3 linked regions of the Astyanax mexicanus genome follow. The main gene of each other region encodes a partner of the protein of the gene in region 3 in a complex. Links are inferred from orthologs where the notes say so. Each region holds a gene or a part of one and is shown on either strand. Other genes may lie near its edges.

Region 1 (10,589 bases), on a different chromosome or scaffold from region 3:
GAACATTAATATCACACCAATATCAGGCTTTTGTTTTTTTCTTAGTTATGACAAATGAAAATTAGAAGTTAAGGAAGAATTATGTTTACATTTGTTTGTTGGGAGTGTGATTTTGGATGCATGGTGATATTAGCATCAGATCATCATCAATAGACAATCACAATATTACAAATGATTTCTGTCTACAGTGAGAGAGTTAATACTTGCTTTGAGATTTCTCCTGGATCAGGGCTTCAAACAAATACCATGCCACCATACCAGTGATGGTAAAAATAGTACACGTGCAGGATTAAAGTTCTTTCGGGACAGAACATTTTGTGTGCTGTGAAAGCGGTTATAAGAAGTTTATAAGGTGAGCGTTTGCAAGTTAAAATATGAATAAGAATCTTTTTACAGACAAATTCTTGCCTCTCAACATCAGCTTGCCAATCAGCTTGTTGTTACCGCAGCAATAAGAGTGGTGGTAATATGGTGCTAGAAAGGCCCTAAAAGCCATAAAGAAAATAATTGTAGTTGGTGGAACGCCATGTTAGTCAATTGTGGAGCTTGAAAAGTGGCAACAGTAAGCCAGGAAACTGCACCACTTGCTGGCTAAAAGTGGAACTACGGTTTTAAGACAAGCAGATGTGGACGGAGTTCAATGTACCAGCAAAAAAAAAACAAAAAAAAAGAGACACACAAAAAAAAAAAAAAAAAAAACAACTGATGACATTATATATAAATACAACATACAACTTTAAACACTTTGGGATAATTTTGGGATGGTTGTAAAAAGAATTAGTCTTGAGCCCTGCCTGGATGATCCCCCCCAACCAGCACCCCAATAATATTAGACTCCATGAGGAGACTTGGAGATGTTTTAAAGAACAGTGACAGAAAAACACTAATAATAGGTATGTTACACTTACTGCCCAGCTAAGTAGCAGATTTATATTATAAATGACAAAGGAGATGAAAATAATTTGATGATAATATAAAATACTGCTGTACCTTTAGTATAATCAGGGAAGTGTAGCAGCAGAGGCTCGAAGCAGCCAGTGTTCGGCCGAAACTTATCCCACACGATCTCACTCAGCAGGATGACGGTCACATTATCATCCACCTGTCGGACACAACACAGGTCAACGTACTGCAAAAGAGCAATCTAAGCAAGTCTGGAAACAATCTTTAAATACTGTAATATTGATTAAAATTAATGCAACCCTGGATTGAAATCTTGTGACATGGCAGAAGCTTATCGAAACAATGCCACAGTGATGATGACATGAAGCAATCAAAGCTAAAGACGTGGTGATTTTTTTTTTTGGTGACGACTTATGTTAGTCAGGCAGTGTATTTATCATATTATATTTGCATTTAAATCGTCTGTGAAAAACTTAAAAATATAGTGGTTGTGGGCCGGTACCAGTTCCTGTAGACGTAGCAGTCCAGGCAGCAGGTTGGCTTCCATATCTCTGAGCAGCTCCGCTCTCTCCAGAACCTTTCAGAACATCACACGGCACACAATAATCCTTTATTAGATTATTATAACTCATTACAGAAACATGTTTAGTAATTAGGTTATGAACAAAAAAAGTGTGTTGATTTTAAGGGGTTTAAAAAAAGAGGTTTCACGTCCCAAAATTGTACTTTCTACAGTACTGATAAACCTGCATGTAATCATTACTGACCTACAAGAGGTCAATTCACGTTAAAAGTGTTTTTTCTGGAGTACAGTGTGTATTATATAGTGTGTGTAGGTCTGATTTACTCACAATGTACCGGGTCTGCTGGGCCGGTTTCTGAGCGCAGAACTGCCTGTAGATCCGAACGAAGTCTGAGAGAGAGGGAGAGCGAGGGAGCAGAGTGGCCGACTCGGAACCAAACATCGCTAACAGAACCTGCTCAAACAGCAGCCCTGCAGATACACACTCCACACAGCTCACCGCTGCATGAGGAACCTATACACACACAATTACACACATACAGTAATTTAACATTTAAAGAAAAAATCAGTTAAAGAAAAAATATTTTTGGCAGGGGAAACATTTTGGGGGATTTTTTTGCACTTTCCAAATACAAAGTCTTAGAATGTATGTATATAATATTAATTCATGTTTACATAGTAGGGGCATGCTGTATCGTATCACAGGCAATGATATTGCAAAAAAGATTGACACAATAAAAAAAATCCTTTTATTTAATCCTCTATTTTTTAAAACGCAGATCCGTTTTGTATTTGTTTTGCTATTTACTGAATTTACTCTTAACTGTATGTTTGCAGTTTATATATGCACTAAATATCTTGTCTAGTTTTGTGGTTATATTATTTTTGCTACATTTTTATTTTGTTACACTATTGTTAGTTTATTACTGTTTACAAAATAGAGAAACATTTCTATATATTTTTTGTTTTTACTGAAGGTATGAAACCGTTATATTTATACAAAAAATGTTTATTAATATATTCTTGAAATTTATATTTTTTTATTTCCGTGTTTTGTTGTTTTCCCTAGAATATAATCATCACATAAATACCACAAAATAACTTTTTCTTAAACATTTTTTAAACAGCTATATCAACCACCCCCACTGCACAGTACCTCCAGTTCTTTCAGCAGGGTGAGGATCACATGGCTCTTCCCCGTGGCTCGGTGGCCATAGATAAAGATGGAGGGGAAGCAGTACTGCTCCGGCTGTACATAGGGAAAAAATGGACAAATTCAAAGATGTTTTCATGACACTGAAACATAAACAGGTTTGAGAAACACTGAATGAATGTCTGATCTATGAAAGAGAAAGGATGATATCATAAAAGATGGGAAACTATAAAACAGATAAGACAAACCTCCCCCATTAGAGCCAGCAGCGTTCCTGCCTGTCCCTCTCTACAGGGAAGCCGTTCGCTCACAGAGCTTAGTTTGGCTTCAGGATAGCCGGGACACTGCAGTCCAGCCAGCATCCTCCTCAATCTGAGAGAGACAGAGTCAACATCAATCAACATGCAAAACTTATCCTTACACACAGCCCTAGTTCTAGACTGCTTTTCTGATAAGCCAGAGCTGATGATACTGGCTAAAATTGACGTATGATACTGGCTAAAATTTCATGTGTCTTCAACAGAAAACAACGCATTAAAGGGTTTCCTACAGTGTATATACAGCATATTTAACGAACATTTATAAAAAACAACATCTAGGGTCATATAGACTACAAAGGAACACATAAGGAAACTTACAATAAATGGAAAATGTTAAACAACCCACAATACTCTGTGACGCATTTAGGTATCTGGGGATGGTAACTCTGATAACCTTATCCTGTGTGCAACAGAGCTAACTCTTGGTCTTGCTTCTCTGAGACAACCCTGATAAGAGTCAGTTTCATCATAATGCTTTAATGGTCTTTGTGACTGCACTTGAGGATACTTTTAAAGTTCTTAAAATTGTTCAAATCAACTTACTTTTATTTCCTAAAGTCATTTTTTACTTAGTTGAGTAGTTCTTGCTATAATATGGATTAGAACATTACTCAAATACAGCTATTTACTGTATACCATTTCTACCTCTTCACAACTTTACAACTGATGCTCTCAAACACATTTAGAGGCAAGAAATTGTTATTAACTCTTGAAAAGGCACAGCTACTTTAAATAATCTATTCTGTTTCTTAACACTTTATTTGTTCACTATATAATTCCGTTAGCTTTTCCTTATAGTTTGGATGACTTTTGTATTATGTACAAACAACAAAAGTGAAGGAAACCAAAGAAAATACGACTTTTTATATATATATATATATATATATATATATATATATATATATATATATATTTTTTTTTTTTTTTTTTTTTTTTTGTGCATTAAACAACCTGAACTCACTGTTCAGCACAAACGTGTAAGTGGAAATTAATAAGAATAAATACTTGAATTATTAATTTTAAAAAATACAAAAGCAGTTTGTATTTACCTCTTATTGGGATAACGTTACCATAACACAGTGATTTATGCTATCCATATATTAGCTAGCTACATCTACTGGGACTTTACTGGTAATATGTTCTAATACGGTGTTTCTTTTGTATTTTTACAGTTAAATATACACTAGGGTAGCACGGTTTGTCAAGGTAGCACAACTCGACAGAACACCGGTCTGGGGCTGGAGGTTTCAGCAATAGGATGACAGTTTAAGAAGAGAATCATTTAAAACACGTATATTTTCTGTTAAATAAAGTAATTGATATAACTTATATACGTTCTGTTTATACACTACAACACCACCTATCTCCATCTAAAATCAGTAACATAAATATATGTGTGTGTATATTTAGTAATATTATGGGATAGAAGCTCGTGTTGTTGTATGTTGTGCTGGTATGAACAGCGCGGTTATTTAAGTTATATAGTTTAATAAAGTTCTGCTACACTTATAGCCTTTCTACAGATCAAAGAAAAAAAACAGATTACTTACTTTATAAACACTCAGCCAGAAACCCCAACACACACTCATTCACACAGGATCCACACGCTGCTTCACTTTCCCGCGAAGGTGACGTCACATCCGCAAGCTGGGAGTTGTAGTTTTTAGACGCGGAGATTTGTAGTAGCGAGTTTCAATCGCTTGTTTCTGTATATTTCTAAATAACAATGTATTTATTGTGAACACGTGTTTGAGTTGGCCTAGGTAAGGTCATTTTAATTCTACTGTAGTTTTCGATTTTTTAAATTAGCAAAAACTATAATTGAATTTCAAAATTAAAATATGTATATGATTAAATGGTTCAATTTAAACTACTTTACCCGAGTATTAAGAAGATTTTGGGTGTAAAACAGCACCTTAGCAACACCTATTCAACCACTTAGCAACACCAAATTGGCCACCTCTAATACCACAGCAACCACCTTGCAATTTTTTAACAAATCCCTAGGAACATTACAGCATCCACCTAGCAACATCATAAGAACCACTTAACCACACCTTAGCAACCACCTGGGATACAATAAAGGATGTTAGCTGTGCAGCCATCCTGCGCTCTATTTTCTTGTTTTATTTACTTTAAAAAACCCACAAGTGAACCTGCACTCGTTTAAAAAGGTTAATTACGGTAAAATTGTGGGAAATCAGAAGAAATAAACTTTTTTTGAGGGACTTCTTTGTCCCAGAACGACATGTATTTTTTGCTCATAAGAATGTCAACAACTTATTTGACTTTTAAAGACCCAATTTAGACAAAACAAGGATTGTAAAGGAACGCTTACTGGTTTGGAAATACAAATAACATTTAATCAATTATGAAACGTGTATAATCAAAAATGATTTGGTCTGTTATTTAATATAAATGCACACATTGGAATACAGACATTAACTTTGCTCTGAAAGACATATTTTATATATGTTGTTTCAAGGTGTAACGGAAGCAGTGTGTGTAAGTGTGAAGGGCGCAGTTAGAAGGGGCAGTGGGGAACATTCCTTTTTATCCCATGGTGCACCGCTGGCTCACTCTATGAGCTAGACTTGTGGTATATACCTGTAATGGATGTTTAAATGTTACAGTAGGCTACCTCCCATGAAGCTAGTTTACTTCAGTTTCAGTCACTCCGCCGGGTTTTTACACTGTTACACTGAAGTTAGTGTCACTCTCTGAGCACTTTATGTGCTGTAAGCGAACAGTACACCCTATAAATAAACGAACCTCCCTTCTTTCTGGTACATGCCACAATATTATTTAAAAATAATTATATTTTCGCTTATTTTCCACTATTTTTACGTGTCGGACCACTAATACAATAACTGATTTAAAAATTGCCCCACCGTGCTTTGTGTTCGCTAAATCAGTGCGCGGTGTTTCGCAATGGAACGCGACCATAATTTTAAGCGCACTACTTAGGGCACCGGGGGGCGTATTGGAACGCGCCCGAGCGTGCAGTTCTGACCTGCTGTGAGCGCTGTTGAGCTGCAACTGCTGCTGCTGCTGAGTGTGTGCGTGTGTGTATGTGTGTGTGTGCTGTATGCTCTCCCTGTCATCTCGGCGCGCGTGCTTCAGTGCTTCAGTCCAGGACACATTTTAGAGAGAGAGAGAGAGAGAGAGACAGAGAAACATAGAGGTGTATATATACAGACAGAGGTAGAGCGAGTTAGAGAGATAGACAGAGGGAGAGAGAGAGACGGTGTGTGTTTCTGACCAGAGATGGGCTCCAGAGGCTGCAGAAGCTCATCATCTTCTTCATTGCTGCAGCCTGGAAGATGCTATTTTTCACCACGTGAATAATGAATGGGGCACTCATGGCTGACCACTCTGCATTTTAATGCTGTTTTCAGGGATTCATCTGTCATTTTTGGCTGAGATGAGAGCAGGCTGCTGTGGGAGCGGTGGTGCTTTGCTGTTGAAGAATCTGTAGAGCAACAAGGATGCAGGTATGGACGTGGAAATTTGTATAATTGTGCCTGTATGTATGCATTTATCTGCTTATATCTGTTTATACATATAGTAAAAGAATGCATTTTATATTTATAGACTATGCTTCATTACAGGATTTCTGGACATGATATGAGATGTTTGAGGCATGATGGTGTGAATGAGAAAACAAACACCAACCCCTTGATTTATTTGCAACCGATAAGCAAAAAGAAGAAAGAAAACAACCCGAATCAAAATCAGTTAATGCACCGAATCATACTAGTGACACCTGATTATACCACAAGCTTCCACGACACGATTCCACCAAGTCTACCCCAGCTTCTGGTGCTGTGCAGCTCCAGCTCCACGAGGTCTGCATCCAGGCGATGGTCCCTGGAACACCAGCAGCCATGCTCCCCGCTTCAGAAGCCGCTAAAATCTACCAGACCAACTACGTGAGGAACTCCCGAGCCATTGGAGTTCTCTGGGCCATCTTCACCATTCTCTTCGCCATCGTCAACGTGGTCTGCTTCATCCAGCCCTACTGGATTGGCGACGGGGTGGACACCCCCCAGGCCGGCTACTTCGGCCTCTTCCACTACTGCATCGGAAACGGACTGTCACGAGACCTCAAGTGCTACGGCAGCTTCACCAACTTCAGCTCCATCCCTTCGGGTGCCTTCAAGGCTGCTTCCTTCTTCATCTGCACCTCTATGGTCCTGGTGCTCACCTGCATCGCCTGCTTCGCCCTCTTCTTCTTCTGCAGCACTGCCACCGTCTACAAGATCTGCGGGTGGATGCAGCTGGCGGCAGGTGAGCAGCAACGTTTAGTGGGTGATGGGGTTGTGCGGTTGTTAAGATTCAAGCAATATGGGACAAAGGTAGTCTGTCATAATCCACCATGGGGATTGCTGGTTCAAATCCTTGGCCATGCTCTCTCTGGGTGGGTACAACAGGTGGCGCTCTCTCCCCTTATCACTCCCATTGTGATGCTGGTTGGTACAGGCATCTGTCAGCTAATGTATCAGAGCTGGGTATCTGGCACTTTCCTTCACGTGCGCTGTGATGCTGCACATTGATTGGTGGCAGTTGGAAAAGAGGCGGAGACTGACTTCACACATATTGGATGAGGCATGCACTAGTCTTCACCCTCCTAGTGTTTGTAGCATTACTTATAGGAGTAGTTCTAATGAGAAGTTGGGGATGTTGGTCCTCCCAATTGGGGAGAAAACTGGGATGCAATTAGAAATAAAATGATATAGATATAAAAAAGATTAGAGCGATAGTTAGGCTATCCCCACATTAAGGTCTTGTGTCTAAAGTTTACTTATTTAGTTTGTATGGGACCCAGTAGGTTTATGTGGATTCACTTTATGAAGAATAACAGTCATAATTGCATTTTTTACTTAAGCATTTTGCAGCCTTAGTTCATCCGTTAGAGCTAAAGTATACCCATACCCATCTCATACTCATCCATATTCCTACCAATCCACACCCATCTATACCATACCCACTCATTTCTAAATGTTTGCATACCCATTCATATCCAAAATTACCCATACCCATAAATATATTCATACATTATCATCAACCCATCAATACCCATCCATACCAATCAGTAACATACTGGAACATTTACCCATACCCATAAATTCATATTTAACAGTACATACATACCATCCATCCATTTCCATGAATATTCATCTACATCCATCAACACTACAGTATACCCCTTCTTCCCCAACCACACCTATCTATTCATATTCACCTGCAGCCCCAACCATTATTATCCATATACACCCATTGCTATAGACTCCCATTCCCATCCATTTCAATCTATGACCATCTTTTTTATACCCACTCACCCATGCCCATTCATAACCATCCATAATTTCAGCTATGCGCACCCATATGTAAAAGTCAGATTTTGTGTGGTTTCTGCTTCTGAATTCTTTAGTAAATCTGATGTAGCTTAGCTCATTATTTCCAGAGCGGATTATAACCATATTTTCATTAGAGACACACCATTTATACATTTTTATGGTCATTCAGATTTTTTTTACAATATAATTCACTGCTGGACATTTTTATTAGCCTTATATTAATCTGAACCTCACACTCTGTGGCCACATTTTTAGCCCTTTGTTCTGTTGGCCAAATACTAATATAAAGTTAATATATATATATAATGAACCAATCTGGCCTTTTTATTCCCTAGAGAAAATATCAGAGATATCAACCTATTTTAATCACATTAATCAAATACATTGCTGAACTGAATTAGAGTTGACTGGTGTACTATCCATAACCATTCTTACATAACCAAATTCATACCCATCCACACCAATCCTTACCATAACATATATAACCATATTCTTATCCATCCTTACTAGGGGTGTCACGATTCTCTAAATCCTCGATTCGATTTCATTTTCGATTTGAGGGTCACGATTCGATTCGATTCTCGATTTTCTTGTTTTTTTTTTCTTGTTATTATTTTATGCCTCATAAAATTTAAATAATATATTTATTATTATTATTATTATTATTATTATTATTATTATTATTATTATAAATATTATTATTATTATTTATTAAGATATATATGGTAATGCCATCTAGTGACTTTTTTTGGTAGCAACAGTGTGCACTATTAAAACAAGCAGTTTATCAGAGCTGTGTGTGGATGGCTGGTGAAACTGCTCATTACATGAAGCTGCAGTTCTTCATCCAACCACTAGCAGCAGCAGCACAAGCCCCGCTCTCTTCACTCAGTCACTACTTCAGTACAGCCCAGCCACGGGCTACAGGGCTCAGCCAGTCCGTTTTTACTGTTTCTGTAAACAAATAAAGGTTTTAACCCCACTAACCGGATAATACAGCTCACTACAGTTCATCTTTCAGCCCAAGCAGCTAACAGCAGCAGGTTAGAACAGCCGACACGGAGTCACTGCTCGGATTACATTATAAACAGGTCAGTTAGCGCGCTGCTAACCTCAGGATGTTTATAACTACGGAGTTTAGTGGACACACCACGGCCGCCAGGTAAGTCTTTTAAAGGCTACTGAAGACTATTAAAGGCTATTAGAGTGTAACCCCTGGCTCCCAGGGGTTACAAGAGGTTATTGAAAGCATTATTGGGGGGCAGAAATCAGTACAGGCTGGTTAGATAAGTGATGTGGGTATTGTCTTATAAATATTTACACATAACTTATATCTCTCCTGAAAAGCTTTTATTTTAGTCAGAAACACGCTTGTGTTTACTTTATCTGAGAGAAAGATGTTTTTTTAATTCAATGGAAAGCAACAGGTGTAGTCAATTATAAGTTTAAGATTTTTAATCCACCTCACTGTGATCTATAGTCAGTGTTCTCAAGTCACACTGACACACGCATTTCAGCGAGTTCACACGCTCTCACCTGCGCGCACCCACCCCTCCGTTAGATACAGATACAAAACCTGCGCGCCCAACCCCCGCCTCCCCTCCCCCGTTGGACAGATAAAAACAGTGATCACACTCCCGCCGACTGCGCTCATGCAGTGGCTATCTCTATTTAAATGAATAGGATGCGCTGTGTTGGTGCCGCGCCATTTGCGTAGCGCGCGCGGGAGGGATCGTCGATCCTCTTTTTGACTTCGATACTCGAGATCGTGACCTCATTTCGATTCGATTTCGATAAAATATCGAGATCGTGACACCCCTAATCCTTACCAATCCTTACCATAACATGTATAACCATACACATACCCACCTTACCATAACATCTATAACCCCACCCATATCCATCCTTACCAATCCTTACCATAATATATATAACCATCTTAACCAAATCCATCTTTATAAACCCTTACCATAACATCTATAACCATATCAATAGCGATTCTTACCATATTTAGAACCATTCCTATACCCATCTGCCTTCATCCATACATATACAAATCTATGCTCTTCCACATTCATCAGTACCAACTATACAGTTCCATCTTATGTTCCATTTTATTTTGAATCAGACCAGCCCAATTCTGATCTTGGCCAATCTTAAAAAAACCTTCTGTGCTAAAGTATTTAATTCCATTTTTGATCATTTTTATTGGCTTATTCATCAGAAAATTTAGACATAATTTCAAGCATGCCTGCCAGATTTACAATATGCTTAGATTGCTCAATATGTCTAGAGAAGCAAATTATTTGTCACAATAACTAATTAATTGC
Region 2 (9,902 bases), on a different chromosome or scaffold from region 3:
TCCAACCTATACTGGAGCTGGAGCAGGAGAAGGCATACTTCCATTCAGGTCTTTCCCTGCCATTAATGGAAGATTTGGACTGTTGCCGCAACACATTAAACCCAATACATCACCACCACCACCACAATGCTGTAGAACAGCCCGAAAATGGTCATAGTTTTAAAGGGTTAGGTGGAGAGCATTTAAAACGAAGCATTTTGGAAAAATTTTATCTGCATTTTATACCAGCCTCTATTTCCCTAGAATGTTTTTATTTGATTTTTTTTACCGACATTGAAAGCTACAGACCAAGGAGCTAAGAGGACTTTCAAGGAGGTCCTTAAAATCTCAACCCTCAAATTATATTGGTTTGTATTATTTTTAAAAACAGAAGAGAGTAATTTAGTGTGGGCTTTTATTTCCTTTTGTGTACTTGTGCTTGTATATTTAAGGTAGTAGCAAAAGTTCTGTATAACTGTATGGAAATGTATTCTTCCCTAGCATTACCTAAAGCCATTCTGATCTGATGTGTAAAAAAAAGAAAAAAGAAAAAAAAGTGAAAAGATGAAACACATAAAACCTGTCCCAGCCCACCCCCAGCCCCGCCTCCTCTTTACCCAATCCAATTTCCCTTAATTTTATGAACCTGTGTACAATTGATTGATTTAAAAGAAAGGGCACAGTCACACCGGATTGATCTGTCCATTCTTGGTCTGAGTAAGGCCAGCCAAAGCAGCAACCTTATCACATGGGTCGTTATGTGTTAAAATGGGGATTTCAAGGCCTGTACGAGCGAATTAGATAGCATCACTCCACTCTGTGTATTAGCCGATGTGATTTATTGATCCATTGTCTCCGTCTTTGGGTCATTCTGTCACATACAGGCTGGTTATTTCGTTAAGTGCATGTTGGCCCAGGCACGTCCTGAACTTGTATGGACCTTATTTCATTCGCCATATTGCGAGGGATAGTCAATCTTGTCATTAAATTCATTGGACATTTTTGTATTTTTTTTTTTCCTTAATTTTTCTAAATTGATACCCTGCCCAGTTTTAATTCATTTCCATGCAAATTGTGAGATTTCTGCCAGCCCTGCACTTGTAATTGAAACTAAATGGTGATCTGTCCCCCTTCTAACCCCGTAGACACCCCCTCTTTGATATATCTATTTTTTTTCTTAGTTTCTGCCCTTGACTAAATTAATGTATGTACCAATAAAATATGAATTTTCACTTTAAAAGAGAGCGGCCTGTTTGCTGTCTTTATTATTGTGCTCAAAACAATATCAGTCAGTAATATGCTATTCATGCATATTACTAGCATTCACTAACATGACAAAAGTCAGAGGACAATAACTAGTATTATGTCCTGTTACTTCTTACAGAAAAAGACTGACTTTATGCTTGTGGAGCTCTTCTGCCAAAGTCACTTCACGAGTCGCATTGACTGGTCTAGCCAGATGCTGCTGGACTGTGCTGTCCACTGCTATCCCATGACTTTTGTCTGTAATTCTAAGGATCCACTGAAAGCGTGGCATAAAACTGGCCATTCATAATACAGCTAAAGGTGATATTTGGCAAGCTTTCAGTCTGTAGGAGCTTTTACATGCCACCTTCAATTGCTGGAGCTGCAGTGCTCTGCTGCTGCCCTCTAGTGGATTGTCAAGCTGTTTGAGGAACCCTGCTTTACAAAACCTTTCTCGTAAGTGGGCTGATGTGACAGAACCTTACTAAGGTTTATAAAACATAAATGCCCAATAGATGGTTTATATGGTTAAAATGGTTTACATTTGTTGCATTGAGTAGTTTTTTTTAAACATGATTCTTTGGAACAGTGCTTCTCAAATCTTGTCATCAGAAACTCCTAGATGGTCCACATTTTTAAATGTCTCTGCATTTTGCAGTTTGCATAGAAGGATAAATTAATCTGGGGGCATTTGTTTGAGAACCCCAGCTTTAGAGAGTCATTTTTGTTAGTGTGCAACGTAAATGTGTTAAGAACCTTATTTAGGTTTAAAGAATATACACTGAAATGCCACATCATTTTATCTAGTGTTGTGTGCCATGACTTTTGTCATGTCCCATAAAGCTAAAAACATGGCAGTGACCTGTGGGATAAGTGTGTGGGACTTTCCTCATTGAATGTGTATGAAATTTCTGAGTCTTCTATTTAAGTGAAGGACAATTCTAACCAGACATCACCAGTTACGATCATTGCCTCTCACTGCCCTGTCCACTGTGGGTGGTAATTTCCTCTATGATTCACCAGTGCTCACAGGACACCGAGGCTAGAGGAATGATAAATGCCCATGCAGCTTTGGGAAATGGGATTTTCCATCCATCTGGCACTACCATCATGCCCCCCTCAAACTTAATAAATGTCTCCTTGCCATGAGCACACTGACCAGTGTGTAATCTCACTTAGAGAACCTGAGGTGATTTTTCTATGCCATTGCTAAGAAATATAGTCATTAAGGCATTTTGACCTTAATTAATTCTGCTGTATTAGTATCCTCATGTTTTATCTCCATGAGTCTTTGATTTGACTGGCGATGAGTTTGTAGCTGTTTCAAATGCAGCTCAGTGCAGCACAGTGTTGAAATGAGCTCATGGGGTGCTCTGCGCTCTGCTGGTGGCGGCATGTATCTGGAAACGCTCCAGACAGAGTCTGAAAGAGCCATCTGCTCTCAGCCGGTGCGTAACTGGACCCTCTCGAAAAACAGATGATTCCTTACTGTTCATAAGGAGTGCCTGGAGCAAACAGTATGGGCTGCGGCTGGACCTATGAGCAGAGGGTCATAGGTTCAATTCTCGCTGGAGAGTTACAGCCGTTGGTGGCATAAAAACAAAGCCCACATTCAGAGAGCCCACAATGGTGTTTCTTATTCAATGATCCTTTCCCAGAACGTTATGGCTTGAAAGGAAGGTGTTGCATTCCCAATAGATATATAGACAGATGCCAAATCCAGCATTTATCAGCCAAAAAATCCATTTTAAGAGATCTTTTTTTGGTTTAGGATCAAACCAAAAGCAACAGCAAAGCAGGCCAGGAGCTGAACAAACAGAAAATAAAGAAATTAAGCACAACAAAGGAAAACTAAACTGAAGGCTTAAGTAGAACTGATGAGAAAATGTATTTTGGTTCCAGCTCCTGCAATTTTAGACTATCTGAAAGCCTTAAGATTTGGATAATTTGAAAATATTATGTAAGAAATATTAATTCCTTAACACAGTCAATTTATACAATGTTATTTTAACCTAAATCCACAATAACAAGGACACACAGTGTCATTAATACAAAGCACCAAAAGTACTAACAGTGCCTGCTTTTGGACAAGCTTGCTAAACATGAATGAAATTTGATCAATCTTATTTACATGACTGTTTTTTGTTAATCTCTTAGTAAAAACTGTTCTATTTAAAGCAGGATGTCAGAATCTCTGAATTCCATCTATTCTTTGACATCAACTCTCATCATCAGTGGTAAAGGCAGTAGTATTATAAAATTGATTAGCACTTCTATCTATTTGGGTCTCAGTAAATCATTCTAACACAAAGTTCTATCTGTCTTCTATCTGTGGTTCTATCTACCGCAAAATCTGTTGGATTGGTGTGAATATTTGAGCTGCATGGAATGGATTGGACACCATTAGGAACCTCTACAATTCCAAGCCAAGATATATTACCCATATCTTCCCACTGAATTGTATTTGCAATTTGTAATTGCAATCTGACTTGCAGTCTTTTTGGTGCAACCCTTTTTCCAATTGTTACTTTAAAAAAAATTATTTATGAAGATTTTGTGGCGTACATGAGAAGGAATCCAAACAGGCAGCATTACTTGGCCTTAAGGAAGCTCTTTATTAACAACTTACTGCTTGCAAACAGCAATCAGAGTAGGTTAGAAAAACCTTTCCTAAAATTACCAGAGCTTGGTGTAAACATTACAATAGGGTGTAACAGTCAACAACTAAACACTCTTTTCACATTCTGAACAGTAATTACAGTTATACCCACAAGTCTAACTCATAGTTTGAGCCAGCAGTGCACAATGGGATAGGAAGCACTGTGCCCCGCTGCCCCTACTGCCTGTGCTCTCCAGGCTGCATTTACTCAGTTTCTAGCCACGGTCTGCACAATATCTAAAGCTTTGAAGAGAGTATTCTATACCAGCTCCTTTAGTCACCATATAAATGCACAGTCTCAGACAGCAACACTACTTCCTTTCAAGCAGTCAAGGCTGTGATAAAGTTTCCTTTTCTCGCCGCTTTGCTTTTTAAAGTGCTTTCATTCTGGAACGGCTGAATTTGATCTTTCGGTTCTGGTCAGTGACATTTGCAGACAAAGCTCCATGTGTTGGTCTGATTGAAAATGTTCAGGCCATTATCGCATGACATTTTACGGAGGACTGAGGAGGAGTGCGGCACAGGCCTGAGTGGCAAATCTCGGCTCTGCTCTGTATTGATAAGCCATGGAGCAGCCAGACAGTTAGATTCCTATAATTTCCACAGTGTAGGCCAAACTTACAGACCCCTATCCTGTTACAGATTCAAAAATTGAGCACAGTGGCTGCTTAGAAAATTGTCCTTGCAGTGTGGTAGAGATGGATGGGCTGCTGAACATTGATACTTCCAATCCTATCCCATCTTTCTGAGATTCATCCTGCATTTAAAGTGTTTTCTGTATACAGAAAACTGAATTTCTGTACTTGTGAAAAAACTGTTTACTGATATGACAACTAGAGTCGTTGGTCTGTTAGCATGGACATTTTACCCAGACATATTTGAAATTTGCTTTTGCAAGTGAAATATTGTTTCAGTAGAACTGTATCAATTATCAAATACTTTTATATATTAGTAAAGCAAATAATTTCACAATAAAATTTAATTCTGGTATGATTTCATAGATCTTAAAAAAATAAAGTGATAGCATCTCAAAACAATGAGAGAATCTACATAATTTCTTAGTATCTCAAAAAAGAAGAAAGTATCCCAAAATAAGGACATACTATCTTAAAATAGTGACTTAGTATCTCAAAATAACCACATAGTATTTCATAAAAATAAACCCAATAATATCTCTAAATAATGAGATAGTATCTCAAAACAATGACAAATATTTTAAGATGATACAAAGTATAAATGTGCACTGCATAGTATAATAGTGCACTACATATTATAAAAGTGCACTGCATAGAGTAATAGTGCACTGCCTAGTGTACTAGTGCATTACATAGTGTAAAAGTGAACCATACAGTGCATTAGTGCACTACATAGTATACTAGTGAACTACATAGTTTCATAGATAGTGAAGTATCCCAAAAATATGTACCCCAAAAATAATGAGATATTATTATATGCTACAAGATTATTTTGAGATACTGCGTCATTATTATGAGATACTATGTCATTATTTTAAGATATATAAAAGCATACCAGAATTAAGTTTTATTGTGAAATGATTTGCCATTTTAATATATTATAGTACTTGATAATTGATAAAGTTCTACTAATATATATATATATATATATATGCTTTCGGTAGGCTAAAAGCACAATTTCGGATACATAGTATAAAAGTCCCCTCATAGTCTAATAGTGCACTACATAGTATAATAGTGCACTACATAGTGTAAAAGTGCACTAAGTAGTGTAGTAGTGCACAGGATAGAGGACAGCTGGTGAATGGGACTGAATGAGACACAGCCCTGGGCTGCAGGCTGTGGCGTCACGGCACTTCCGCCCACGTGGTGTGAATATTTTTGTGGTGGCGCGGAATCGGAGCGGGTTAAGGAGTCGCTGCGGGGCTGCGGGGCTGTAAAATGTGGTGCAGTTTAATGTAAAGCGCTTTTTCTGAGGGAATATTAATACAGACTGTTCTCAGCGGAGAAACAGCGCGCGGAGGGGTCTTAAACCCGCTGCTTCTGGAGGAAGTTCTGCTGTTTTCGGGGTGAGTTTGGCCGCAGTGCAGCCGGTTCTGTAGCAGCAGTTCTGTTTCTGCTCCACTAAACTCCTGCAGAAGAGAGTGGAGATTTAGGTTTAGAGCTGCACAGACCTGATGGACTTGAGTCAAATTTAATGTACTCTTGGTAAAGTGTTATTTGAATGTGAATAAAACTTATAAAACTTATATTGCTACTTGTACAAAACTTATAAAAGTTATTTATTGTGAATGTTCTTAAGTACTGGACAATTAAAACTTTTAGCTGAACCTGTTCCTGAAAATAATATTGCTCAAAGTACTTTTTACTTGATGAGTCAGTTTTTTTGTACTTTTACTGAAACAGAACTAAAACTCACACTCTTTTCATTTATTCAGGTTATTTATTTAAAGGGAACTCCAGTGTAAAATGGTTTGTGTTGTAGTGAAACATGATGACAAGTTCACACTTTTGTCAAAGTGCCGACCTCCAATCTCCCCCAGCATTCCAAAATACAGGGCTTTTATCCAGTGCTCCCAACAGTCTCACAATGGTAGCGATAAGGGCATAGAATTGCTAATGGAAAGAAAAAACTATTTTTACTCCATTTAAAAGCTCAAAGTAGCCCACACATATCATTGGTAGAATTCCAAGTGTCCTGACATTTAAAACAAGGCTCTGAGAATTTTGAAAGTGCACAGGTAGTTTATATAAAAAGACAGTGTTTATGCACACAGTACCTTTTAGCTAGTTCTTGAAATTAAGTCATAAGTCGACTGAAGAGCACGAACGAATAGGTAGAATAGGTAAACAGATTGCAAAATAAATTCTGTGTAAATGAATGAATGAATATTAAAGAGAGATTTTCAGCAACAACTGGAATTCATGCATTTCCATGCATCTACCTACTTGTTTTTGCTTGTCAGTTGACTTTGAGCTTGTTATTGGTTTAAAAAATAATAATTTCTTGTGTATCTCATCCACCAAAAAACATTTTGACTTTTTTTCTCTCTCTCTCTCTCAGGTCCAAAATGAGTCCACAGAAACGCACTGCAGGTCCTGGAGTTTTGGAAGTCCAATTCGTAGGAGATGAAGATGTGCTAGACCACATTGTCGAGAAACATGAAGGTGCTGAGATTGACACACATCTCTGTTTTCTGGGTGTTAAATCCCATTCTATTTCTTAATGGACATTGTCGTGTGTACTGGGTATACATCATAAAAGGCATTACTGCCCACAGTGGACAGCACAGTGCATTGGGTGGTAATGATCGTGACCAGTTGTCCAATTGTTCTTGAGAATAAATAAGCAACTCTATTAGAAAAATGTAAATGGATTGATAATGATGCACTACATTTCTGGAGATTCAAGTATCTGGTCCTGTTGTGTATATGGCTTGAAACGTTTTGGTTCAGGTTTTTACTCTCTCTATTCTAATTGTATTTTAGGGTCTAGAGCACTCAGAAGTTCTGCACAAACTCTAGTGAGCCTGAAGAGTCTCAGAAAGAAAACGACAGACTCTGCAGAAGGGGAGGAAGAGGAAGAAGAGGAGGGAGTTTTTAACAAGCAAAACTATGTGGAGTCGCTTGGTTATGGAGCAGAAGGTAGAATTTTTTGTCACACAAACAAAAATTGCCAAGAGAACACTGAACAATTCTCAATATTATTAAAGAACTTTAAACTGATTGAAAAAGTCATTTTTTGGCTGTAATATCGGTGATGTTTCCATACTGTGTTTAAACATTGTTGCTGTTTTGTTTGTGTATCCTGTTACACAGCTGGAGATGAGAATGGGTCGGCCACAGCAGGAGCCTCAGTGTTCACCTTCCAGACCATCAAACGCTCCAATAAAATGGCTCAGATGGGTGAGTTAATAAAAGATTTTGATTTTGTGTCAGATTTTTTTTATTTATTTTTTTTTTACATATTTTAAAGTAAATTAAGCTAGAGTTAAATTATTAGTCTGATGATTTTAAGATGCTTGTAAATGTTGTACACTATACCTCGCTATACATTTCTCTTTTTATCTCTCTCAATTTAGCTTCAGAGTGGGCACGCACTCCTGGCAAAAGTGTCACATTTCGTACCCCTGGGAGTCCAGAGGAGGCAGCCAGCCCAACCCGGGCAAGCCAGAGTTAGTAATCATATCATTATTTATCTATCTGTTTACAGTACCAGTCAGACGTTTGGACAGAGCTCTTCTCATTTAGTGTTTTTATATGCTTTTTGTTTTTACATTGTAAAGGTAATATTAAAGACAATATGAAAGCTAAGGTCACATTCAGAATTATACTGAAAACAAAAAGCAGAATATGTTTAATAATGAAAATTCTTTAAAGTAGCACATTTAGCTTTTGGACAGATCTGCACACTCTTGATATTTTAATCTTTTTTTAATCTTGGTATTTTAAGCTTTTTTTTCTTCACACTGTGAAGCTCAGCTCATTCCAAATCACCTTAAATCACCATCTCAGTTGAACAGGTCAGGGGATTGTGGAGGACAAACACTTTTTCTTTTTTTAAATTTTTTTTTTATTACGTAATCCCATATGTGTTTTCATGTCTTTAATATTAATCAACAATGTACAAAATAAATAAATAATGAAATACATTGAATAAGAAAGTGTGGTACATGTCTATACATTCATTCAAACAATCCATCCATCATAGGCTTATAATGTATAATAATCCTACTGTTTATTCTTCCCACTACAGAAGTTGCCAGTCAAAACAAAACTCCTCAAAAGGTAAATTGGAACCTTCATATATGAGAATGACTGTGTTTGTGAGTTTCTTCTGAAATCAAGAGTAATAAACAGTTTAAACTTTTAAGCTTTTTACAAGATTTTAAAACATTGTTTAAGCATTTGATTGGTTGTATTGAGTAAAAAAGAGTGTGAGAAGTGAGGTCAGGATGTTGAACGGCTGTTCATCTCACCTCATCCCCAGCTCGTCTCAATAGCACTGGATAGATCACTTTTATTCTAAAGAATTTAATTTCACTCTTTTTATTTTTATTTTTCCTCTCTAGGGAAAGAAAGTACAGTTTGTCTCCACGACTCCTCACAGACTGAGAAAGAGAATATCAGGTTTGTTATTAAAGTTCAAATTACTATTAGTCAAATTTCTTTTTTCTTTTAATATTTTTATAAATAATATTTGTTGTTGTTGATGTTTTTGGTTTATATATATTTTATTTATGATTATTCAGCTCCCAACCTAAAGTCAGACAGTGACAGTGATTTCTCCCCCTCGAACTCGGAGGATGAAGAGGATGAAGAGGAAGAAAAGGGGGAAAAAGCTGAAGCTCAGCCCAAAACCCCCAGCAAGTCATCTGGAGCTGCTGCTGCTCTTTACAAGACCCCTGCGAAGAAGAGCAAGAAAGCACCAGAGGTGGGATTACATTTTTTAAAGGAATATATAACTAGTTTAGCTGTAACTAGTTTATAATGTCACATTTTAGCTGTTCTAAGTCATCACATTTGAGTGTTAAGTCTAGTTTCCTTGTAGGATATGTTTCAGCAATACTGATAAGGTATGTATGAATATGGATGAGCCTTTTACGTATGCCAATCTCCCTCTTTTCAGCCCAACCTGGTGGAGGAATATTTTGAAGCCCACAGTAGCTCCAAGGTTCTGACATCAGACCGGACTCTTCAGAAGCTGCAGACTCCTAAACTAGATCGGGTCAGTCCTCGCCCTGTGTCTGTATTTATTACAGCTAGGGGTCTTTGTTTAATAGTCAGTCAGTTAGATAAGTGAAATCATGAAGTGAACCTAAACTCAAGCTCCAGATGAAGCTTTTCTAATGTTCATTTGAATTTAATATTTGAAACATTGGTCTAACATCATCCAGATAACCACAAATGTCTACTCTATAAAATAAAACCCTGTTTGAAGCTGTCTTTAGGGTTTAGGCAGAATAATAAATGAATCATTACAGATGTTTTTCATGGTGTGTTGCAGGAAACTCTGCTCAGATTGTTGGATGGAAAGCCCTCCT
Region 3 (10,411 bases):
ACCAAACAGGCTACTTTACTGGCTTTTTATTGACCAACTTCTCTATAAACACAAGCAGCAGCAACAGGGCCTACAAACCAAACTTCATGACCTCACTGACAGCTAGAAGAATTAAAAAAGCTAACAAACACAGGAACAGTTTCATATACTGTAAAATAAAAAAATAGCCATTTTAGTTAGATCTGGGTTCAACAAGCATTCTCAGTATTGGTTTTATGAAGTATCTTCCTTTAAATTAGAAGTATAAATGTATTCTAATGAGTTCACGGAAGCCTAAAAGCAAATGTTTAGTGGTCTACACTGCATCACAGCACTTACATGTCTAAAATCTGGTTCAGACATATTAGATATTAATAGTGATTAAAGGTGATTTGCAAAAGTGCTTAGATGGAGTGTTGCCTCCTAATATAACCAAGACAGTGATTTTGGCACATAAAACGCCACAACCCAACAAGTTACTTTACTGGATGCTGTTGACTGGCTTCTCCTTCAATTACTAACAAGAGCAACAGGGTCTAGAAACCAAACTGCACTTCATGACCTTACTGACAGCTAGATAGAAGCAGAGGAACAGTTTGATATACTGTCAAATTAAAAATATGCATTTAGTCTAGACTGGCTTTCACCGTATTGGTTTTATGGAGTATCCTCTTCTAAATTGTGAGTATAAATGTATTCTGATGGGGTGATGGAAGCTTAAAAACAAACATTGGCTGGCCTAAACTACACCACAGCTATTAGCTAGCTCAAATTTGGTGACTTACAAACATTCTTTGATGGACTGTTACCTCTTAATCTAACCAATACTGTGATATTACACATAAAGGCGGAAGACTACTTTGTTGGCTGTTGTTGACTGACTTCTGAATGAAATACTAGCATCAGCAACAGTCTACAAACCAAACTGCACTTCATGACCTCACTGACAGCTAGAAGAAATCACAAGAACAGTTTGATATGCTGAGTATCTTCTTCTTCTAAATTGGGAGTATACATGTAATCTGATGTAGTAAGGGATGCCTAAATGCAAACACTGTCTTAACTGCTCCACAGCTCTTAAAGATAAAATCTGGTTCAGATATTAATAAAACGTGATTTAGAAACATGCTTAGGTGGAGAGTTACCTCCTAATCTAACCAAGACTGTTTTTGGCTGTTGTTGACTGACTTCTCCATTAAATAATAGCATTGGCAAAAAAGCACACAACCAAACTGCACTTCATGATCTCACTGACAGCTAGAAGAAATATTTTGATAATTTGATATACTGTCAAATCGAAAAATAATATTTAGATTAAACTGGCATTCTCAGAACTCGTTTAAAACAGTGTTTTCTACATTTGATCATACATGATTTCTAATTGGATTATGGAACCCTAAAAGCAAAGTCTGTGTGGCCACTGGTCTTGAATAAATGAATGGACTGGTCCAGATATTAAATCAAGTGATTCACAAATGTGCATAGATGAAGTGTTGTCTCCTAATCTAACCAAGACCAAGTATTTTTTACATAAAAGCCACAAACTAACAGGCTACTTTCTACCACATACTGACAGCAGCAACAGGGCCTACAAACCAAACTGCACTTCATCTATACACCTTGGTGACAGCTTTAATAGACTGTCAATTTAAAACTAGATAGTTTTTAGTATTCGTATTATTTTACAGAATATCTCCTTCTAAAATGGGAGTATACATACATGTACTCTGACAGGATTAAGGAAGCCATGGCTACGTACTGCATCACAGACAAAATCTGGTCCAGATATAGATAAAGTGATTGTTTGAGTGTTACCTTTTAATCTAACCTAGACAGCTAATATTGTTCTTTTTTAAAGACAGGATCACAGAAAAACAGTCCACTTTGATTAGCTGGCTAGGTGAAGTGATCTGGCAGGCTGTTGTTGACTGGCTTCAATAAATACTAGCTAGTGAACAAGCTGTATCGTTCCTAGCTAGCCAGCTTTCCCCCCTCATAAACCATACGCTGATACCTACAAAATATAACCTAGATAAGAGATAGCTATGTTATGTAGTTAGTGTAACCGTGTAATAGCTAGATGCCCTAAAACAGTCGCAGATACTCTGAGCTAAGAGTGGCTTGGGTATTCGCAGCTGACAGCAGGGCTTAAAATTGTAAAATTAATAATAATTAGGTTAAAAAAACAAACCCAATTCAGGCAATCAGCTAACCATAGTTAGCTGGCAGACTAGTATAAAGCCTATGAGCTTAGTTAGCTTCTTAGCTAGCTTTCAACTACTACACTGGCCCAGCTGCTATCTGGTTAGGTTTGCTAACGCTAAAGCTTTCAGGTTAGCTAGGCTGTGCTAGCTGAGCTAACATGACCATAGGGGAATAAATACAAGCACCAGAAAAAAAGTACACCAGGCTTCGCTTTCGGGGCCGTTTAACACGACGGAGGGTGAAACAGGGGTCTAGCTGGATGTGACAATAATGTGGGGAAAACAAGAAGAAAGTCAGCTGGATGTAGGTTGGAGAAAGAAGTCGACACCGACAGCAGCAGCAGCTACAACAAATAAGGCGAAGTGCTGCTGCTACGGCTACGGCTGCTGTGGATAGCTAACGCTAACTAGCTAGCTAGCCCAGCTTACTGGCTGGCTAACGTTCATTATGCTAGCCTAGGTAGCTATCTTAGCTAACTGCTAGCTGGGTGGCCTGACCCATGAGAGAGAGAGGAACGAAGAGAGAGAAGGAGAGAGAGAGAGAGACAGAAGGGGGAAATAATACATACACAGTTAAGCTACATATTGGGCAACATTAAATATAACAAAAATAACTTTAAACATATACGTACCTTGTTATTCCGCTTAACGCCGCGAAAACAGCCAAGTTAGTGTAAATACGTGTCTACGAGGCTGGTTCAAAGTATCCAGAGAAACGTCTCAAAAGCAGAGAGGCCAAGCGGAGGAGGAGGAGGCAGGGGGAGCGAGCTAACAGCTAACTAGCTAGCTAATGCTAGCGAAAGGGGGGTAGGTAGCTAACAGCTAGCCAGTGTAGTGAGAGCAGAAGAAACGGAGAGACGAGAGGAGAGATAGGGTAGAGAGAGAGATAGAGGAGAAGAGGAGGAGGAGGAGAGGCTCTCAGATCCCTCTCCCCGGATTTTCTATCTCCTAACAGCCGTCCAGCGCATCGCTGCCGTCGGTTTGAAGTCCCCGAGAGGTCGACGGCGATGGAAAAGTCCGTTTTTAAGGCTCGTCTCAAATCGACTCTGTCCCTTTAAAAAGAGAAATAAAAAAGCTGCCCCATCCGCTGCCTCTGCTCTGCTGCCTCTCTCCGGGCTGCCTGCTCGGGGTTAGAAGATGGAGCTCGGCCCCGCTGCGCCCCCATCAGGACGCTCAGACAGCTGCTACAGGACCACAATGCACCGGGCCCCTCTCTTCTCACACACAAACACACGCGCATACACACACGCACACAAACACGCATACGCACACACGCATACGCACACACGTATACACACCAGCAGAGCAGGAGGGCTGGAGGAGGTGGATGGGTGGATGGCTGGTGTGTGGAGCGTGGAGCAACAGGGACACGTTTTTTTTTCTGATTTGTGTATATTGTATACTATTCACAAGGGCTAGACAATATGGCCAAAATCTGTATCACATTATATGTGATATACTGTCTCAAGAATGATTGCAATAAATGATAATAGTGTTATTTTAGGAGCCTTTTTAATTTTTTTAAATGTTTTAATTACATTTTTATAATAATGTTAAATAATACCACCACCACCACCACCACCACCACCACCACCAACAACAACAACAACAACAACAACAACAACAACAACAACAACAACAACAACAACAACAACAACAACAACAATAATATTAATATTAATATTTATTATTATTTTTAATAATATTTATATTATTGTTATTATTACTATTAATAGCATAATAATGAAGTTACACCATTTAAAAGATCAGTGAACTTTTAATCAATAAGAATTTGAGAAAATCCTAAATAATGGGTGATATATATATATATATATATATATATATATATATATATATATATATAGTCACAGTAATTATTGCAATAAACAATAATAATTTTATTTTGACACTTTCATAATATAATAATAATAATAATAATAATCATCATAATAATAATAATAATAATAATAATAATTTAACACTTTCAAAATGTAACAATTTAGTAGCATAATAATTAAGTTACACCCTTTTTAAGACCAAATAACTTTTATTCATTAAGAATTTTGAGACATCATTAAAAAAAACTAAATAATGGATGATATATTGCCCCAGAATTATTACAATAAATGATAATGTTATTTTAAGATTTTAAGAGCCTTATTTTGACATATTAATTTGCTCTACTTCCTAAGAAAAAGCATAATGTACAATATCACAGGTCAGCAAAAATTACTGATGTTATTTTCATATATTATACAATAATCTGATAATGTAGTTATTGTGTTAGGCCGAAATCTGATATCAAAAGGGACTTTATGAATCCCCATGGCCTTAATGAAATAGCATAGACAGACAGAACTGAGAGCTGGGTCCATAAGCAAAATGTGGGCTTGTGTGCATTATGCCTTTCCGAATAGGCCTTTTTTTATTCATACAGAGATATTGTGGAGAAAAGCTGGTAATTTCCTTATGTTTTGTATTTATAATAATAATTCACAGAAGTACATTTAAAAAGTCTGCATTATATCTACCCATAATCTCAACAAATTGTTTATTTTGTACATTTATTTTATAAATGTTGTTTTTCAGATTTTTGTGAAAATATCTATCTAGCTAAATGTTTTTCCAATAAAGCTAATTACAGCGTGGATATAAAGATGTTATTTTTGTTTTTAACTATGATGTCTCATTTAACTATGATGTCTGGCTTTAACTATGATGTCTGCACAAATTAAAATTTGGTAATGTCCCTTGACATCCATTTTTTATAGTATTTCTTGCTGAATTAGATTTATTTATGGCGTCTCTAAATTGTCTTAGCAACAAAAAAGCTGTATCCACTATAAATTATTAAAGGAGTTTAATTTGTTATTTTATAATATTTTAAATATTTTGTTTAGTTTGATGTATGACTGTTTGTTATAATTTATCTTGCATGTCCTTGTTATATTTTGTTGTTTTTGGAAATTAAACCCTTAACGGGCCTTGCCGCCTTGGCCCATTTACAAGCTACAAGTGTAGGTGATACCAAATCCTTTTTTCTGCAATTAAATTAGTTATTTACATTCTGAAAACAGTGAGGGCTACACAGACTCCTACAGGAGACTTGGGCAAGTTGTCTGTTCAATCTCTACTCCACTTAATAATCTCAAATAAGTAACAGGAATCAACCCCAAATGCTTTGACATAAAACTAGTCAACCACACCAAACAAAAGGTTGAAGGACATGAAATGTTTAATTTGCTCAGGAAAACGCCAATTATATATATACTTGCAGATTTACACATTTTAAAAATATTTTTATTAAAATTACAACTAGGGTTTTCAGTAACGTTTTCATGAAACCTTTTTATGTACTCTTTAAATAGAAATCCTCAAAATAGAGGCGTGCAATATTAATCAGAGAATTAACAAAAATATTAAGAACATGTGGTTTCATCCATGATTTTCTGTTATTTACTATGGTTTTATTGACCCTAAGCAGATCATAGATCAGCACTCTAGCACTATACTGAAAAGTTTAAAAATGTGACCTGATTTTTTAATCCACCAGTCCTAAATATCAACATGTTGAGCTAGGGACATGTACACAGGTTAATTAATTATGCATTCCCAAAAATAGGAAAACATACATCCTTAAACAGGAATTTACAATATTTATTTGGAGATATAGTTAATAGTTAATAAGATTTATATTAATATAATATTATTCAGGAAAAAACAACAAACATTGAGACGGTGATATTTATAGTTAAACATGAAATATTAACATTAGTTATTATTAATAATATATATTGTTATTAAATACAGGTAATATTAGAAATATATTAATATCTAGTGTAACCCGGAAACCCATCTGTATTCTGCAGCTCCGGTTCCGCCTGCTGTTTGCAGAACTGGCGCGAAATCGGTTCTGTTGTGATCCGCGGAGATTTATTTTTCTCTATTTTAAGTCTTTTTACGGTTAAAGGCTGTCAGAAACAGGTAAGTAGAGCTTTAGGGTCGCTGTTATTCTCTTTTAGTAGTTCGGCGGTGAGTGCGAGGCTGCTGTCGAAGCTAAACATTTGCTTCACTGTTCGCTTTGTCGAACTCTCTGGTCCACCTTAAATGATCCAGCAGTTTCCTATGGGCGCACGTGTTGGCTCCAGAGTGTAACCAACGCAGCAGTTAAGGTGGAACAGAGAGTTCGACATTTCGAGAGATCGAAGAGCAAGCAGCTGTATTCTGCTTTTAAGTGGTGGGTAACCCAGGTCCAGAAAGATAAATCCATCCCAGGGTTATGTACTAACTGGCTGGGCGGCTCTGCTGCAGCTGAACTATACACAGAGCCTTCCAGGTAGTCCGTTTAAAACCCTGGGCCAGTTGTTCAAAAAATGTAATCCGGATCAAAATTATCCAGATTTGGTAATCACATTTTTTGCTATCCAGGATCAGGTGATCTGTCTTACTTTTAAGTCAGTTTTTCAAAGCAATATTGGATTGGATCAACCTGATCCAGAAACACAGTTTTCAGGATTACCTAATCCGGATTACCAGCTATGTAAAAAACAGATAGAAGAACCAACAGGGGTTGATGACTCCTTTTCTTGCAGTAACAAGATACTGCTTATTGCAAAACAATACGAGCAATTGAGCATTCTGCAGAGACGCTTTGCATGCCTTAACTATTTGCGAGTCGAACCACAGGGAGCATGCAACATAACACTTGCATGTATTGTCCTGCCCAATGTTGCTACCAGACGCAATGTCCCTCTCTGTGATGTTCATGATGCACCTGAGCCTGTTGAAGAACCAGAACAAACTCTGGTGTTCTTTTCAATTGTTCGAAATTATTTTTGACAGCTTCATATCTGATAAATGTTTCTTTGACATTAATATACAGTGATGAATGACAGTGACGTAGATGAAAAAATGAATATATTATTTTTGTTTGTTATTGAAATCTTTTGGGGGGTTTATTTAATGGGGTCAAGATTGTTTTTATTTTTACGTTACTATAGTAAAAGGCTTAATTGGTAGCCAATGTCTACTTTATTACTGTAACGGTTAAACAGGTCAAGTGCAAAATAGAAGTAAATGTATATACACTAAATTGTACAAATGTATTTTTTTTTTACTTTAAAACTTTGATTTTAAAGTTTTACCACATTTACTTCCTGAAATCCCCCTTGAAATCCTACCCCTTGTTGGGATCAGGGTAATCCTGTTTTTTTGGATCAAAGTTATCCAAATCCTACTGAAAAGTTTTGAACAACAGAAACTGAAGGTTTGATCCATTTACAAACTAGGATTGGATTACGTGATCTGATCCGATTTCAGAATGCTTCTTTCCCTTTTGAACAACCCGTTTTCCAGATTTGATCCAATCCGATAACCAAAATCCGATCAGATTTCCTCTGAACAACTGGCCCCCTGGGATGGATTTTTACTTTCTGGACTTGGGTTACCAACCTCTAATATCGACAGCAGTTTTACAGATAGTCGTATAAAATCTTATTTTACCAGGTTTATCGTCCCCTAACGTGCAGCTTTAACTTGTCTTTCTTTCTTTTCCAGAATCATGAGCAAGCGTAAGTCGAAAGACGCCAGTTTGCCTGTTGGTGAATGCGTATCTCAGGTTAGTCCAGCCAAGATGACTAGTTAAAAAATGTATTGTTTTTTTTTTTGCTTTAATATCAGTGTTTTGTCGAGTTGTGCTACCTTGTCAAACGGTGCTACTAGTAGTATTTATTTTTTGAAAAGGTAAAAATACAGCAGAAGCCTATGTAGGATATGTGGATAGGCTAAATCACTGTATCAGAAAAAGTTAAGGTCATACGTGACTAGACACCATATATCTTTAAAAGAGTTTTATAGTTAATAAAAAAATAACTTTAGGTTGCTGTTTTGTAACTGCTATTTACAGATAGAAGAAAATTAATCATAATAAAACATATTTAGGGATGTCCCCAGGGAACGAGTAGATCACATAATTTTCTAAGGATCAGAATCAGGTGGAAAAGATCCAGATCACTGATGTATCATATTTCTATGAGCAGATGTACCTTTAAGGCAGCGTGAGTGGCAGTGACCTGAAATCTCTTAATTTAAATATTTTATTTACATTGAAATACTCATTATTTAACAAATAAGGAAATCTGGAAGGCCAAATGTTTACATATTCATGCACTGTTTAATATTTGAACTGTTTGGAACTATCCTGAGCTTGTTAATGGTATAAAAATAGAGATTTACTTGCATGGACAAAGCTATGCCCCATATTGCTAGCATTGTAAGCCTGTTGGGAGCATCAGTTAACAGCGCTAACTGATGGGGATGAATGAAGGTGGGCTATTCAACAAACGTTTGTACGCATTACCATGTTTCACTACAACCCAGGTCCATTTCAAAGCGATTGTCTCCTGTAATGCATAGTGCAGTGATTTTTATAAATTGATGTGCATTATCCAATTATACAGGATTACAGAACTTATAGATTTCTACCTGATATTCAATTAGATGCTGCATAAGTGTTTTAAATGTATCTTAACATGTCCTATGCTGTTTGTTTCAAGTGACACATACATGGCTTTTTACTTATTACAGGTCCAAAGAATAATGAGGGAGCGATTTTGTCACCAGAAGCTTCCTGACAAACCTTATGGATTGGACTCGCAGTACAAGTGGGTTGTTTATGTGTTAAATTTAATAAATAAAATTGTGTTTGTAAGCTGTCATTAACAGAAGATGTGAGTGTGATCTTTTCTTTGTTTGCGTGTTGTATAAGTAAGAAGTTTTTGTGTGTGTCTTTTGGGGGTATTTAGGCACCTACTGGAGCTGTTGAGAAGAACAGCAGTTCATGGTGAAAGTAACTCCGTTCTCATCGTGGGCCCACGTGGAGCTGGTAAAACCATGGTACAATTCAAATTCAGGCTTTTCACTTCATCTTGGTTCATATAGGTGGCTGCTTCTGTTACTGTACAAACACAGCATGGGCACTATAATGGGGTAAAAGAAAATATTGGTGTTTTAAAATATTGTCGTGTTTTTGTAATTCTATATTGATTCTTTAAGTGCTCAATAAATTGCATGCAAATTTTGGTGGCAGGCACTAGTCATATTGTGTATAGTGCTTCCTACTATTCTGATTGCATAACAAGTAAACATTTCTTTAACTTATTGTTTTGTGTTTGGCCAAAAACAATTAGTTACTCTGATTTTGCTATTTATAGGTATATGTTTGAGTAAAATGAACATTGTTGTTTTATTCTATAAATTATTGTAACATTTTTCTGAAATTCCGAATACAAATATTGTCAATTAGAGCATTTATTTGCAGAAAATGAGAAATGGTTGAAATAAGAAAAAGGCTGCAGAGCGTTTAGATCTCAAATAATGCAAAGAAAACAAGTTTATATTTACAAAGCTTAAGAGTTCAGAAATCAATATTTGGTGGAATAACCCTGGTTTTTAATCACAGTTTTCATGCATCTTGGCATGTTCTCCACCTGTCTTACTCACTGCTTTTGGATAACTTTATGACGCTCCTTGTGCAAAACTTCAAGCAGTTTAGCTTGATGGCTTGTGATCAATCTTCCTCTTGATTATATTATAGAGGTTTTAAAATTGGTAAAATCAGAAACTCATCATTTTTAAGTGGTCATCATTCTAAAGTTATTTTTTCTCCAGAGCTGTATATTGTGAGGCTCACCACAATTGATAAACAACATTGTGGAGGGAAAAATCTTTTGGTAAACTTTGTAGTTAGCTCACATCACTCCTGTGGAAACTCACTTTGGATGTGTGATGATGTTGCACCCATCTCAATTCTGATATATTGAATTGCATATTGATCAGGAGAATTGTTTTATTTTCTCATCCAGTTTTTGTTTAGTGTAGTAATGGGTTTCTGAGTGTTTCTCTTTGTGTGTCTGTGTAGCTTCTGCGCTGTGCTCTGAGAGAGCTGCTGGAACTGCAGGAGGTGAAGAAGAATGTTCTCCAGGTTCACCTGAGTGGTGAGTGTTGGTGCACGCACATAACTGCTCCATGGTTTTGAGTTATATAACGTGTATATATATATATATATATATATATATATATATATATATATATATATATACGTTGCTCCTGTATTCGTTCTGTTGACAGTGGTGTCTCTCCTGCAGGCCTGCTGCAGACTGATGACCGGATCGCTCTAAAAGAAATTACCCGCCAGCTCCACCTGGAGAACGTCGTAGGAGACAAAGTCT

What was found.
Region 1: the proteins of orc4 (region 3) and orc5 are in contact, whole or in part, in a cryo-EM structure (PDB 7JPO), measured with the Homo sapiens proteins. The link is inferred for Astyanax mexicanus from reciprocal best matches to the Homo sapiens genes ORC4 and ORC5. Residues at the interface, in NP_001177808.1 of Homo sapiens: Ser18, Gln21, Arg22, Arg25, Glu26, Cys29, Arg30, Gln31, Arg69, Thr74, Asn100, Leu102, Leu103, Gln104, Ile105, Ile109, Glu113, Arg116, Asp162, Arg277, Met281, Met284, Leu285, Asn288, Met311, Asp312, Ser313, Lys314, Asn316, Ile317; in NP_002544.1 of Homo sapiens: Ile17, Ser20, Leu21, Phe22, Gly23, Glu24, His26, His27, Phe28, Ser29, Phe30, Pro31, Tyr36, Gly37, His38, Thr39, Thr98, Phe99, Asn100, Val103, Arg104, Arg131, Glu134, Asn136, Pro139, Gly140, Arg143, Gln145, Glu146, Leu147.
Region 2: the proteins of orc4 (region 3) and orc2 are in contact, whole or in part, in a cryo-EM structure (PDB 7JPP), measured with the Homo sapiens proteins. The link is inferred for Astyanax mexicanus from reciprocal best matches to the Homo sapiens genes ORC4 and ORC2. Residues at the interface, in NP_001177808.1 of Homo sapiens: Lys168, Asn169, Arg195, Glu200, Leu201, Lys204, Arg205; in NP_006181.1 of Homo sapiens: Asp501, Asp504, Tyr508, Ser512, Gln518, Glu522, Val554.

Annotation. Positions count from the first base shown.
Region 1 is NC_064409.1:24,352,496-24,363,084, reverse strand, and holds the start of orc5 (origin recognition complex subunit 5), read right to left. Parts: upstream 4,612-10,589; 5' UTR 4,450-4,611; intron 2,952-4,449; 5' UTR 2,942-2,951; coding exon 2,828-2,941; intron 2,676-2,827; coding exon 2,583-2,675; intron 1,941-2,582; coding exon 1,755-1,940; intron 1,481-1,754; coding exon 1,406-1,480; intron 1,103-1,405; coding exon 991-1,102; intron 1-990. Other genes in the region: lhfpl3 (LHFPL tetraspan subfamily member 3 protein), read left to right, coding at 6,763-7,189. UniProt on the Homo sapiens protein: Component of the origin recognition complex (ORC) that binds origins of replication. DNA-binding is ATP-dependent. The specific DNA sequences that define origins of replication have not been identified yet.
Region 2 is NC_064423.1:30,252,133-30,262,034, reverse strand, and holds the start of orc2 (origin recognition complex subunit 2), read left to right. Parts: upstream 1-5,728; 5' UTR 5,729-5,927; intron 5,928-6,922; 5' UTR 6,923-6,929; coding exon 6,930-7,026; intron 7,027-7,347; coding exon 7,348-7,503; intron 7,504-7,677; coding exon 7,678-7,764; intron 7,765-7,940; coding exon 7,941-8,033; intron 8,034-8,614; coding exon 8,615-8,646; intron 8,647-8,930; coding exon 8,931-8,988; intron 8,989-9,110; coding exon 9,111-9,292; intron 9,293-9,487; coding exon 9,488-9,586; intron 9,587-9,865; coding exon 9,866-9,902. UniProt on the Homo sapiens protein: Component of the origin recognition complex (ORC) that binds origins of replication. DNA-binding is ATP-dependent. The specific DNA sequences that define origins of replication have not been identified yet.
Region 3 is NC_064412.1:33,930,318-33,940,728, forward strand, and holds the start of orc4 (origin recognition complex subunit 4), read left to right. Parts: upstream 1-6,040; 5' UTR 6,041-6,167; intron 6,168-7,739; 5' UTR 7,740-7,743; coding exon 7,744-7,800; intron 7,801-8,768; coding exon 8,769-8,845; intron 8,846-8,986; coding exon 8,987-9,077; intron 9,078-10,101; coding exon 10,102-10,177; intron 10,178-10,327; coding exon 10,328-10,411. UniProt on the Homo sapiens protein: Component of the origin recognition complex (ORC) that binds origins of replication. DNA-binding is ATP-dependent. The specific DNA sequences that define origins of replication have not been identified yet.